Lonchura striata: one gene and its partner. The main gene of each other region encodes a partner of the protein of the gene in region 2 in a complex. Links are inferred from orthologs where the notes say so. Each region holds a gene or a part of one and is shown on either strand. Other genes may lie near its edges.

Region 1 (6,886 bases), on a different chromosome or scaffold from region 2:
TGTGATCTCTGCTCTTGATCAGGGAGAAAAACCCACTGCATGGATAGAGAGAAGTATTTTGTGAATTGGGATGGTATTCCTGTATTATCAGGTCAGTGAAGGGAATATCTCACATCTGACACACTGAAGTGTTTTTTTAAGTGACTTACCAACAAATACTGCAGAAGGGATGGCATGTGGGGCACTTTCAAATATATACCACCTGTAATATCACAGGCCTGGAAAGCAGAAACCATGATCAGATTGTTGTTTGATGACATGAACAGGGCACTTAAAATATCCCTGTACTGCAAAAGGCCTGCATGTCCAACTGTCAGATCCACTGAACATATTTCCACACCCACTCTTGATTAAAGGAAAGAGCTGAAGAACGTCTAACATCAAGTATTTATGAGTTAATATAAATGGTAAATAACAACAGCAAGTCTCTACCTGTTGCAGAAGACCTGAATCAGAGTCCAAGACACAGGCATCAATCAAAATACTCTGCAAGAGATGACATGCATGAAAAATAAATTTAGCCAAAACCCACACAGCCCTGTCAGTGTCACTGTCATGACTTGTTTCCATGATAAATGCCCTATAAATTATGTAATCATAAGATAAATTAACATTTGTGTTATTTACACAAAAATAAAAGGTAATATAAATAGAAAAAAGGCCAGCTTCACCTGTTTCTGTGCTGCAAAGATCACATTCATGAAATTCATGTATTGCAATGCGCTGTCTTCTGCAGCTTTTATGACCTAAATACAAATTCAAACTTGTTAGCCTACATATATCACTGGATTTCAAGACTAAAAGAAAACAGTGACAACAAAAGTTCTTACCAGAATCCTTGATTTAATTTCTTGATTGACTAAATATTAAAAAGAAAAAGAAATGCATCAACACCTTGTTTGCATCACCCCTTTAATTCTGTAGCATATGACACCTCAGAACATACTGGATGTTAGATCTAACAGGTCAGATAAAGTATCTATAGGAAACTATTTCCAGTCCCAGTGACAATTATCTATGGAGTAATTCCTCTCAACCTCCAGTTATTCCACAGAAATTCCAATTTATTTCCTTACAACAGAAAATCTCCATAAGGGTGTGGACTATTGATCAAGTCCTTTAACTTTTTCAATGTAGGCAACCTCAAAATAAACCTCCACCTATCAGTGCCAATTTTGGAAATGGGGGTGTATCCAAACATGTATATTTGTGTGTGCAAGTGTATTTATACCTGTTATTTAGGTTAAAATAAACCTTTCAGTGTTGAAAACAGGAAAAGAGGTGGTACCTTTTAGGTCTTTGCCCATCTTGTTGATGTCTACATTAGCTGGCATTAAGGAATCTACATTCCATTAGTGGAAATAACTCCATGATCCACACCACACATTCACCACCTCAGCCAATACACATTTTGATAAACACAAGCCACAGTTATCAGGCAAATGGTTCAGTTTTAAGTATTATAACAAAACAAGAAAACTAAAAGTTAGTACTATAAGAAACAGTGTTAAGAACACATAAAGGCTTTGAAGATTCTGTAATCAAAAGGATACAACAAAGTGCTTTAGCAAGTGATCCTGCTAACAGGGTTTCTGTTTGCTGGCCCTTCATGTCAGCTGCAATACAAGAAAAAGTGCAAAAGTTACTTTTATATACAAAAACAGCTGCTGGACCTAACAATACAAAATACTACACATTTTTATCTTTGGCCAATAATACTAAGGCAGAGGCCTGAAGTGTCAGGCCTGATAAACTCATCTACTTTAAGCATATTAAAATTCATATGATGAAAACAGAGGACATTTCTGCAACTCCTTGACAGTCCAAGCGTTTTCCAATTCTGCAAGCCTAGAATTTTCTTCTGCTTACTCTTTGTCATGAGGTCTTTAATCTCTTCTGCAATTGCATCATTTATTGCTGTTAATAATTCATATTTTCCATCCTTGCTGCTGGAGCAGTTAGATTCCATGGAAGGGCCTCCCTCTCCGAAGGGATCTGCAGCAGCCCAACGCTTCCCAGGGTACAGGAAACGGCTGAAACAGAGGGAAAGCAAAGTATTCATGTAAGAAAAAATGCTATAAATTAATCAGCTGCAGATAACAATATTCTGAAGTTTCATTTAAAATCTTTCTAATACGTTAGGCATTTGTAAGTTAGGTGACCTTCAACTTAAACTGGAGTAAAACCCACATTCAGCTCCCTCCTTTTAAGACATCTCTTAAGAGATCTGGTGAAATTCTTCAGCTGCACTTGAGGGTAGATCCTGAGATTCACAAACATCTGGAGGTAAAAATATCCCCTAAACAGGGAACTTCTTCAATTTGCATTGTTCCACTCCACACATATTCTACCATTCTCTCTCCGTGTATTTTTAAGTCTATTTAAGCCTCCCTTCTAAGTCCTTTTGTTGCTTTGTAAGTCATTAAGATTCTTTCCTACTTAGTTTCAGCTAATTTCTTTTTTTAAGACCATGATATATTACACAGTTTTAACTTGGTTTCTTGCCATCAAACAAGAAAATCAGGAGACAGATAGAGGAAACTGGAAACCTTTAGAAGCAGCTCTACCTTTCCTGAGTGTGACTTGCTATTACAGCGAGTTTGTTGGTGCGATTCATGAGCAGGTGAGAGTTTCCCAGCACCATCACTGCATCGATGCATTTCGACAGGGTGAACTGCTGGAAAAAAGAACAGAGCAGATGTAGCACAGTAACATTTACAGAGAAGCAATTCAGAAATAATCTGTGAAATTGTTGCAGTTTAAAAAACCTAAATTTGAAGATGCAGAATGAGCTTTTGCTGTTGAAAAAGCTCTAATGAACACAGAATGCTGCATAGGTATTTCAAAATGTTATGTGTAGTAAATATAATCTGCGCTATTCTTTATATGAAATATGCAATATTAGATACTTGTTAGATTATGCCCGTTTATATTAGTTCCCCCCCACCTTTGCAGGCAAGACTGGGTGTATATTAGAAACTGATTTACAAGTAAAAGGATTTGGCTTGGCCAGGAGATGGGCCATGTCAAGACTCCATGGGACTCCAGGTGTTGATCATCGGGTGCTGACCATCCCATAAACAGCCCAAGATGGATCTCATGGAAATCCTCAGACCAATACACGTGAATGCAGCGTTCCTGTAAATCTCATCAGGGATTCACCTACTCCAGACACTGAATTATTCCTCCTCATCACCAAAAAACCTATAGACTCTGAATAGAAGAAAAGACTGATTGCTGAAATCTTGGCCTCAAGCAGAATTTTCCCTATAAAAACCGCTTGGGCCAAGATAGAGGTGTGTGGGCATAGGGGAAAACCTCTGCTGAAGCTGACTCCTTGTTGCACACCCAGGGCCGACCCTGGGCTGGGCTCTGTTCTTTCCTTGTGGCTGGCTAGATAGAATTTGACCGCTAATAAAATCATTTTTTATTTTTAATCTGGCTGAATAAATTCTCATTTATAACAAAAAAGTATTACGATACCTGTTACACCCGAACATTAGCACAGTTCAGAAATGAAAGAAAATGACCGTTTCCCCCAGAAATGGCCATCAGCAGTGCCAGCGCCCAAAGGCCGTACCTCAGCCTCTCCCAGAGCCCTCTTCCCCCACCAGATCGGGTTGGTGTCGAGGACGACGATCAGCAGGCTCAGCTCATCATCTGCAAAGGGAGCGCACAGCGGCGTCACTGCGGGCCCCCGGCAGAGCGGTGAAGCCCCGGGGCCCCGCTCCCGGCCCCGCTTCCCCACGAGCCGCCCCCAGCGCGCTCCGCAGCGCGCCCGGACCCGCCGCGCCGCCGGGCCGCGCTCACCCGCGCTCATCGCGCCGCCCGGGCAGCGGCGGCCGCGGCGCCCGCGGATGACGCCCGGCCGGCGCTCCGCATCCGGCACGCCCCGGGCCGGCCCTGCCCAGCCCCGGCGGAGCGGCGATGAGCACGGACGGTAACGGGGGCGGTGGGCACGGAGGGTAACGGGGGTGATGGGCACGGAGGGTAACGGGGAGGAGATGGGCACGGAGGGTAATGGGGAGCGATGGGCACGGAGGGTAACAGGGGGGCGATGGGCACGGACGGTAACGGGGGGCGATGAGCACGGACGGTAACGGGGGCGGTGGGCACGGAGGGTAACAGGGGGGCGATGAGCACGGACGGTAACGGGGGCGGTGGGCACGGACGGTAACGGGGGCGGTGGGCACGGAGGGTAACGGGGGGCGATGGGCACGGACGGTAACGGGGGAGCGATGGGCACGGAGGGTAACGGGGGGCGATGGGCACGGAGGGTAACAGGGGGGCGGTGGGCACGGAGGGTAACGGGGAGGAGATGGGCACGGAGGGTAACGGGGGGCGGTGGGCACGGAGGGTAACGGGGGAGCGATGGGCACGGAGGGTAACGGGGGGCGGTGGGCACGGAGGGTAACGGGGGTGATGGGCACGGAGGGTAACGGGGGTGATGGCCACGGAGGGTAACAGGGGGGCGGTGGGCACGGAGGGTAACGGGGAGGAGATGGGCACGGAGGGTAACGGGGGGCGGTGGGCACGGAGGGTAACGGGGGCGGTGGGCACGGGGGGTAACGGGGGCGGTGGGCACGGGGGGTAACGGGGGTGATGGGCACGGAGGGTAACGGGGGGCGGTGGGCACGGAGGGTAACGGGGGCGGTGGGCACGGAGGGTAACGGGGGCGGTGGGCACGGGGGGTAACGGGGGTGATGGGCACGGAGGGTAACGGGGGACGATGGGCACGGAGGGTAACGGGGGTGATGGGCACGGAGGGTAACGGGGGGCGATGGGCACGGGGGGTAACGGGGGTGATGGGCACGGAGGGTAACGGGGGGCGGTGGGCACGGACGGTAACGGGGGTGATGGGCACGGAGGGTAACGAGGAGGAGATGGGCACGGACGGTAACGGGGGGGCGATGGGCACGGAGGGTAACGGGGGTGATGGGCACGGAGGGTAACGGGGAGGAGATGGGCACGGACGGTAACGGGGAGGAGATGGGCACGGAGGGTAACGGGGGAGCGATGGGCACGGAGGGTAACGGGGAGGAGATGGGCACGGTGGGTAACGGGGGGCGGTGGGCACGGAGGGTAACGGGGGAGCGATGGGCACGGAGGGTAACGGGGAGGAGATGGGCACGGAGGGTAACGGGGGGCGATGGGCACGGAGGGTAACGGGGGTGATGGGCACGGAGGGTAACGGGGGTGATGGGCACGGAGGGTAACGGGGAGGAGATGGGCACAGAGGGTAACGGGGGGCGGTGGGCACGGACGGTAACGGGGCCGCGGGGCAGCCCCGGGAGGCGCCGGACCAAGCCGGGCCTGACGCTCCCCGTTGCCTTCCAGATCTGATCGAGACGTTCAGGGCGCAGCTGAGGGACGACCCCGATGTCGCCTCGGCCGTGGCCGCCATCCGCGCGCTGCTGGGGTTCCTCAGGCAGGACCGAGGTGGGCCCGGGTGCCGCCGGCTGAGCCGCGGCTGCCGCCGGGGCGAGGCTCTGACCACGCGTGTCTCTCTGCCCAGGAGAGACCATCCAGGGGCTGCGGAACAGCCTGCGGGACGCCATCGACACCCTGTCGCGGGTGGACTCCTCGGTGGCCGTGTCCTCCGGCGGGGAGCTCTTCCTGCGCTTCATCAGCCTCACCTCGCTGGAGTACTCGGTAAGGGCTGCCCGCCCTGCCCGCGCTGCTGCCGGAGCCTGCCGCCGCTCACGGGCATCCCGCTCTTTGCCAGGACTACTCCAAGTGCAAAGAAATCATGATCGAGCGCGGGGAGATCTTCCTGACCAAAGTCTCTCTCTCTCGGAACAAAATCGCCAAGCTGTGTCACCCTTTCATCAGAGACGGTGCTGTGAGTAGGCCGGGGCAGCGTCGCTCCTGTTGGGTTCTGCTGCTGCTGGCAGTGAGGGAGGAACAGGAGGGGAGAGGAGTCTGATGGGGACTTCTGCACAACGTTGTTCTGCACGGCAAGGCATGATAAAAGTCAAGGTTTCCCGAGGCTCAGCAGATGTAATGTGTGAATTTATTTCTGTCCTGGCAGCGAATACTGACACACGCCTACTCCAGGGTGGTCCTCAGGGTGTTGGAAGCAGCTGTGGAGTCCAAGAAGCGATTCAGTGTTTTTGTTACTGAATCACAGCCAGATGAAGCAGGGCGAGTATTCATTGATTGGGTTTTATCTTGGTTCATAGGGTAAGTTACAGCTACCATCCGACTGGTCCTGCACTAAGAAAAGCTGCTAGGCTTGGTCGGAGCATGATAAACAGCAAGTATCGCTCATATCACATTATTCTGGACAAGTGAAAAAAATATCTAAAAAATATTGGTAATTAACTTTCCATACTCAATATCCTAATTAGTGTTATCTAGGTCTTCTTCAAAGGTTCACAACTTCTGGTCAGTGCCAGGCAGCCCTTGGGAGATAGGAGACAACTGCTTTATAATTATCTCTTTAAGAAGTAGGCTAAAATAATCAGTATTATGTTAATCATAGCAAAGTAAAATATATAGCTAACAATGTCATTTAAAGATGCCAAATAATTCCTTCAGAGCAGATGTTGTTGTATAAGTGAAGGAGTAAACCCTGCACCCTGCATAATACATGTCACTAACAACACGTAACAATTCCTTCAATTTCTATATCATAACTCATTTTCTGTTCTACCAGAAGGGGAATGGGGGTGGTCATAGGCTTCAGTCTTTCAGACAGTACTTTCATATTATTGTCTCTAAAAAAATTAATTTTTAAGGTCCAAACATTTTCTTTAATAGGCAAAAAATGGCAAAAGCTCTAAGGAAGCTGAACATTCCCGTGACTGTGATTCTGGATGCTGCAGTTGGGTAAGTCAGATTATAAATATTTTTCATCATAATTTCATTTTGACAGTAAGACAGA
Region 2 (7,056 bases):
ACCACTAGATGAATTCCAGATGTGTTTCTCTGTTAATATGAAAACAAGATTAATTAGTAAAAGTATAATTTCATTAGAGATGTTGGGAAACTTATTTCACTTCAGATTTATCTGCAATAAGTTTATTCTTGCCCTTCTTTTGTCTCTGCTTTTCCTTATCCTGTCATTCATTATTTATTCTCAGAGTTAACTGCAGTCTCAGAAGTATTCTAAAAGAGCATTTAACTTGAGAAACATCATACCAACAGTTAATATTTCTAGGAGACATGCTCAGTGTTTATTATTTCTGTACATCTGGACAGAGATTTTAGAGATTGCGTGGAATAATATTATCAAAATCTGAAATTTTCTCAATAGAAATTACATTTAAAAAACCTTCAAAGATTCAAATGTTCAAAAGACAGGAAAACTAAAACTACCTGTACAATTCTAACTTTTCCCTACAGAATTCACAATGATTACATACTTGTCATCACCTTTATCAATAAGGTTTGAGACTTGTTAACAAACAGGATGGATTGTCAGCACTAAATGCTTAGCATCTAGGAATCTACAGCAAATGATGCTTCTCTTCAGCTGACTTAGAAAATCTACACAGATACCAAAAGAAAATTTCACTTCACTATAGTCCAGTGACTGATCTGGTGAGGACCCACTTAAATTTTTACTGATGTTTATTTGCTTTCATTAACCCAATTCCCAAAGAACAAAGAGGAATAGAAGAACAATCATAGGTATGGTCAGTGATGGTCTATTTTATTTCAATGCTCAAAAAAAGTAGTCCTAGCAAAACCCACAAACACCTGCTTAGTTCATCTGCATTTCTGTCTACAAATTCAATCTTGACAGAGCCCACCACAGGCCCAGATACCTTTCTCTTTGTCAACTCTTATGACCACGACGCACTCGTTCCTGCCGATGCGGATGAGTTTGTTTATGGACCGGATGCGTCTCCTGGACAGCTCGCTGAGGAGGATCATGCCTTCGATGTTGTTGTACTCCAGCAGGCTGACATAGGCTCCCATTTCAGCAATGGACCGAACGTTGACCATCACTACATCTTCCACCTCGGGGAATTTATGTTGGTAGAATCTACAGCTTAGTCCCGGCATTCTGGAATTCAAGCAGAAAAATCAAAGGTTTTATTTCACAGTACATCACTGCCTCCTCCTACAAACACGGCAATAGACCAGCAAAGACTGGGGACAATAGAGAAGAACAGTGGCAGAAAAAGTAGCAATTAGGATAAGGTTGTACTTAGGGTTTAGTACAAATTAAGTAATAAATTATCTTGTATTTCAAATACTATTACCACAACCATTTCCTAAGATGCTATTTTTTTGCCTTAATGGAGAAAAAGCTTTGCTACCCAGACTTCATTACACACTTCACCTGTCATACTGCCTATACACAGAACACTGGAAAGGCTTCTTCGAGTGGTGGAAAGGTGGGACTGCACACCTCACGTGCATGTAAAGTCATCAGAGTGTAACATTTTCACAGAGTTCTGAGTTGGGACTCTCAAGGATCATCAACTGGACTGTAAGAGCAAGAGGACATAAGAGAGAAGCATGCAGTGCTCATGAAGCATTTTGTATGCACATAAGACAGCATGTGAGGCTAACAAAATAAGAGGCAAGATGGAAGTTTCTGTAGTACTGAGGAGAAGCAGACTCTAGATGACTTTTAAACTCAGCACAAGATGTTCAGAGTAATCCTGCAAGACCTGTTCCAAAGGCCAATTGTCAGCAAAGAAAGCAAAGGCATTATTTAGAACAGAACTAGCCTGGCCTGAAGTACTGAAAAGGGAAAAAAGTGCCCCCCAACAGTCAGGAGGGGAAAAAACCCAACAAAGTCACATGAAAAAAACCAGAATTCCTTCATTATACATTAAAAAAAAAAAAAGGCAAAAGCAATATTTCATAATCAAGCAGTGATAAGAAGGAATACTTAAACTGCTTTATTTTTTTGATAATGAATCCATATGCTCTTAAAAGTCTAAGTTTTGTCTAAGTTAGTTCAGTTGTCTATGCCTTGAAGTTTCACACAGAAATTTTTCTACAGGAAATTTTTCCAGCAGCAGCCCAAGATGCCAAGTCAAATGCTTCACTCCTTCAGAAGATTTTAGTCACCAGTTTTAAGTCATGATCTTTACAGCCTTGCTCATGCTTCCTAGCTATAAGAAAATTTAAAATCAGAGTAGACAGATAATGACAAATGCTATGTACACATGTCCACACAATTAAGAAGACCATTTCCACCCTTATTTTAATTCTTAACTTGTAGAAAGGGGAAATACAGACTAGTAAAACATTATAAAAACACTCTGAATGTTTTGTATAACTTATGTAAGCTGAAGCTGAACAAAGAACTCCAAGGTTAAAAAGGAAAACTTTACGGTCTGGCTTTCTAGTCTACTGAATGCAGCTCTGCTCAATCCTGCCGGTACTTCTGGGGTACACAAGCAAGCCGCACTGCAAAGCGACAAACCCGAGCCACAGCGAGCAAGAGCGGACAAACACCACTCCGCTCCTCTCCCCAGCCACAAGGTTTTTATTTTGGCCTTCTGTTCCCCAGGAGCAGCACTAGGCCCACCGCGCCGAAGCTGGCGTTCAGAGGCTTTTCCCGCGGCTGGACACGCCTCAGCCGAGGCCCTCTCGGCCGCACGGCGTCCGCAGAAACGGAGCCGGTCCCGAGCGGCGCCGCCGGCACGGCCGCTGCCCGCGGGCGCCGCGGCACCGGGCGCGGCCCCGCGGCACCGGGCGCGGCCCCGCGCGCGGCCCCGAGCGGCGCGGCCCCGAGCGGCGCGGCCCCGCGGGCTGCCGGGCGCGGCCCCGAGCGGCGCGGCCCCCCCGGCCGCGGGCCCCGCGCGAGGGCCGGGCCGCGCGCGCGGCGGTACCTGGCTGCGGCCCGGGCGGTCTCGCGCTGCGCTCGCGCACCCCAGTCCCGCGCTGGCTCCGCTCGTGCCGCCGCGTGCGCCCCGCCGCCGCCGCCCCACTGCGCAGCTGCCGCGACGCCGAGGAGGAGAGAGGGGTCGCGATCCCCTCGAGCGCCCCCTGGCGGCGGGAGGCCGGAGCCTCGGGCTCAGCCAATCGCGTCTCCTCCTGCCGGCCCCGGCAGACACGTGACGCGAGCGGCGCGCCCGGCGCCGCGCGGGCCCCGCCTCGCGCGGGGGCGGGGCCGAGTCACGTGAGGGCGGCGGCGACGGCCGGTCCCGGCCCCGGCCCCGGCGGTGACAGCGGAGACAGCCCGAGCCGGCCCCGCCGCAGCCATGTCGGCCAAGGACCGCATCGAGATCTTCCCCTCGCGGATGTGAGTGTCCGCCGGGACGGGTCGGGACAGCGCCCGGGGGGAGCGCGGGGGTCCGTGCCGTTGCCGAGGCGGCGGGAGCGGCGGCTCTCGGGGCGCTCGGGGCTCCTCACCGGGGCTCGGCGCTCGCAGTCGTTCCGCCGGTTGCCCCGCGCCGCCGAGCGGGGCTCCCCCGGTTCTGTGACGGGCCGCCGAGGGCCCCTGATCCCAACCTTCAGCTTCTGCTTCCCGGCTCCGCGTCAGCTCTGTCTGGCCTTAGAGGGACGTGGCAGGGCCCGGCACCGAGATGCCGGTGTGATATTTAAAATAATGTGATTACGCAAGCCTTACCTAAAAAAGAACAATTTGTGGAATGTATGTGTAGGAAAAATGGACAAACGGAACGACAGCTTCCCATAACTTTGCAACAGAGGATACTGCTTCACGAGAGCTTGGCCATAGCGCGTTAAAAGAAGGAAGTAAAGTGCTCCCAGTGTAGTGGACAGTCAGGTAATTTTCCAGATCCAGACAGCAAACTGTTTGTCATGAAATCAGATGTCTCCTGAGAAAGCTTAGAAAGCTGCCAACAACACTGGAACTAAAGCAAACAATTGAATAAAATTGCTGGTTTAATAACACTGTTTAGTTTCTCTTGAGAACCCTCCAGGACAGACAGACTTTGCTTTAAGGTGAAAGGCTATTTTAAATCTTCTTGCATAAAAATGGGTTGCCTGCACATAATCTTTATAATAAAAAGGATGCCTTGAAGGACAAAAACCCTCAAACATAAAACAATAATTATTCACTCTGTAGGAGCTCAGGACATAAAAAGTAACAGTTTATATGGAAAGATTAATACATTACATGGCAAAGGTTTTGTTTTGAAATTTAGTTTAGAAATAAACTATTGCATACACGGGAATGAATTATTGCATACATTAAGTCATCTGGCCTCACTCCTGCTCTTTGGTAGTGCATTTTTCCATTCAGTTTAGGTGTGCAAGGAGGGGGCACTTCAATCACTTTTGAAAGGTACTTGGTTTTGTGAGGTGATGTGTCACTGTGGCATGAGGGTGGTCATATACAAAGACCTAATATTTACAAGCCCGTTTTTAAACGAGGTGATAGGCAATAATGTGGGTGCTGTTCCCAAAGAAATATAAGTTAGAATGGCAAAAGAAAGATGACCTGTGTCTGCAACAAATAATTTTGTTACCTGACAGAAGAGAATTTCACAAGGTTTACCTTTTATGTTGGTTTGGGGTTTTTTTTGTTGTTGTTATAAAGTAGCTTGCTGGTATGAGCTTCTTCTTCTGTGCTGGATGTCTTCAATTCCAGAAGTTGCTCAGTTTCCTTGAGAGTAAACAAAACTTTGTTTATTGCACTCTCAGAGCAAGTGAGGTCTTGCTTGAACTAGAAGACGAGCCAGTCTCTGGCAGGTGGTGAACAGAGCAAACAAGTTAGTTCAAGGTGATGACAGCCACCTGCTTGTTGGGAAAGTTCCCTTTTTACTCTCTGATTTTTTTTTAAATCATAAACATTCATAAAGTATTAATGGTTTTCAGTTAGACGTATTTGGTAGATGTTAATGGAGCTACTCTCATCATATACTAGTAGATGTGGTCAGTAATGGATTCCACTGTGTAGAAAGAATCTTAATTATACTTATTTTTTCCAAGGTCAGAGAGGAAGTGTGTAAGAACTTGACTTAAGCGGTGTCCTTTGTGCACAGTGGTTGCATGTAGAAAGCAGTGCAGTTTCTAATTTCACACAAGAAACCTGTAAGTGTGCTACTGGATGTAAAGGTGAAAGCTACAGCTAACTCACTAATATCCCTTTAAATTGTCGCTGCTTTTGATTGTCTTTGATAGCTTGTAAATCTCCTATGCAGCATATAAGCATAAGGAAAATCAGAATGTACAACTGCTGCATCTTCTTGCTCTGTAAAATCAAAACATGGCATCAACTGTTATGACCACATGAAGAATTTGCTTTGTCTGATTTTGAGAAGGTGGCATGGCAGTAAAAGAACTTAAAAGCAATACCCATGTCACAGCGACACTGGGTATTTGGAGTAGTTTGATTTCTGGTACTTCCAAGTCATGAAGAAAAATGAAAACTCTTATTTCCTATTATAGAAGCACTGAAAGATGTCTTGTCAATTTTCCATGAGTTTTGACTTCACAGATAATAACCTTGTAGTTCTCATTGATGATGGAGATAAATATAAATTCCCTTGATTTTAAATGGGAATCTAAAATTCTGTCCTGAAGTGGCCATCCTGTTTTACTGCAATGGTGTTTCATGGTTACTTCATAATTTCAGTCATATACATGTCAGAAAACTTCACCTAAGTTTTTTCCTAATCTCTTCAGATGATGCAGGATGCTTTTTCTTTATTCCTCTGCTTACCAGGGCTCAGACCATCATGAAGGCTCGTTTGAAAGGAGCCCAAACAGGTCGTAACCTCTTGAAGAAAAAATCTGATGCTTTGACACTTCGATTCAGACAGATCCTTAAGAAAATTATTGAGGTAGGTAAATTAGAATTTTCCTTTGTTTGGCTCACTTTAATGTTCTGTCTGTTGTGCATTCCTATTCTCCTAACTTCATTAGATAGGCTGGAATATAGGATGACTTTCTGGCTAACCTGTTTTTTGTAAGTGAGACTACTGAGAACACATGAGCAGCATTATGTTTCTGTGGCTGCAATGATACAGAAACTTGGAAGAGTTAATATTCTTCCCCTCTTTCCAGACAGTCTTAGCCTCTGCTCTCTTTTGTTTTACAAGTTCCCGATCATCTCTTCTATGTTACAGGGAATTTGCTCTGATACTGCCAAATACTTTGGGTATTAAAATGTTCTGTAGCCCCATTTTTATTGCTTTTTCTGGCTTGAGGGAATACTGCATATCTATAAAGTTTCTTCTTTGTAACATCTTGCATCTTTCTTTGTAACATGGATGACAAATCTGAGATAGTCAGTGGAGCCTACTCTGTGTTGTTCTGTTCTGCCCTATCAGATGGGTTTAGTTGTACTGTTTTTGCTGCAGCTGCTGCAGAGTCCGTGGTTAGCTGTGGTCCTTTGTTGCCACACTGTAGACAAGATCTCATCATGTCATGGCTTCCTATACATTGTCTAAAACACAAAGGCTGGTGTTTCTCAATAGTTTTTAGCTACAAGGGCTAAAAATCTGTAAAAATTGGGAAAAAACAGAGTGGGAGGAGAGTGCAGCTTCACAAAGCTGTATACATTTGTATGCTGAAAACAACCTTCAGCTGTCTCATAGTATTTCATACAATGTGAAACAAGAATATTTTCCTGCTGAGCCACTTTATTGTTCTTATTTAACCCCCATGTAATAGAATTTAATGAGTAAGGCAAATATTTTGCTTTTTCTATGAATTCTACAATGTGAAACAGCTGAAATATTTCTCTATTTTTGCCAGTCACCTGAGAATTACAATTACCAGTTTGAGAGTAAGCTATGCATATAGGACTTTCTCACTCTCTTCAATTTCTTCTCTTTAAGCTGCTAGGTTTTTATCCTGGAAAAGTAGTAACAATGTGCCTTGTATTTGTTGCCTTTTCTTTTTTAAACAGACTAAGATGCTGATGGGTGAGGTGATGAGAGAAGCTGCCTTTTCACTTGCTGAGGCGAAGTTCACAGCAGGAGATTTCAGGTGAGGATTGCTGGGCTTTTGTGAGGCTGTCCTATCTATGGGAAAGAGCTATCAACAAATTATTATTTCCTCTTTTGGAAAAAAA

The links.
Region 1: the proteins of EIF2S1 (region 2) and EIF2B1 are in contact, whole or in part, in a cryo-EM structure (PDB 6K72), measured with the Homo sapiens proteins. The link is inferred for Lonchura striata from reciprocal best matches to the Homo sapiens genes EIF2S1 and EIF2B1. Residues at the interface, in NP_004085.1 of Homo sapiens: Ala28, Glu29, Met30, Tyr33, Gly44, Met45, Leu47, Leu48, Arg75, Lys80, Tyr82, Ile83, Asp84, Arg88; in NP_001405.1 of Homo sapiens: Gly39, Thr41, Ile42, Gln43, Gly44, Leu45, Arg46, Ala47, Asn48, Glu70, Arg74, Ser77, Ser80, Leu81, Glu82, Tyr83, Ser84, Asp85, Tyr86, Cys89, Leu305.

The regions. Positions count from the first base shown.
Region 1 is NC_134620.1:13,116,928-13,123,813, reverse strand, and holds the start of EIF2B1 (translation initiation factor eIF2B subunit alpha), read left to right. Parts: upstream 1-3,869; 5' UTR 3,870-3,927; coding exon 3,928-3,940; intron 3,941-4,135; coding exon of another isoform or gene 4,136-4,148; intron 4,149-5,337; coding exon 5,338-5,439; intron 5,440-5,515; coding exon 5,516-5,652; intron 5,653-5,725; coding exon 5,726-5,842; intron 5,843-6,031; coding exon 6,032-6,144; intron 6,145-6,762; coding exon 6,763-6,831; intron 6,832-6,886. Other genes in the region: GTF2H3 (general transcription factor IIH subunit 3), read right to left, coding at 1-35, 150-218, 433-486, 672-746, 831-859, 1,289-1,318, 1,554-1,616, 1,870-2,033 and 3 more.
Region 2 is NC_134608.1:32,778,407-32,785,462, reverse strand, and holds the start of EIF2S1 (eukaryotic translation initiation factor 2 subunit 1), read right to left. Parts: upstream 3,006-7,056; 5' UTR 2,900-3,005; intron 1,114-2,899; 5' UTR 1,113-1,113; coding exon 872-1,112; intron 1-871. Other genes in the region: ATP6V1D (V-type proton ATPase subunit D), read left to right, coding at 3,272-3,312, 5,704-5,821, 6,892-6,971. UniProt on the Homo sapiens protein: Member of the eIF2 complex that functions in the early steps of protein synthesis by forming a ternary complex with GTP and initiator tRNA. This complex binds to a 40S ribosomal subunit, followed by mRNA binding to form a 43S pre-initiation complex (43S PIC).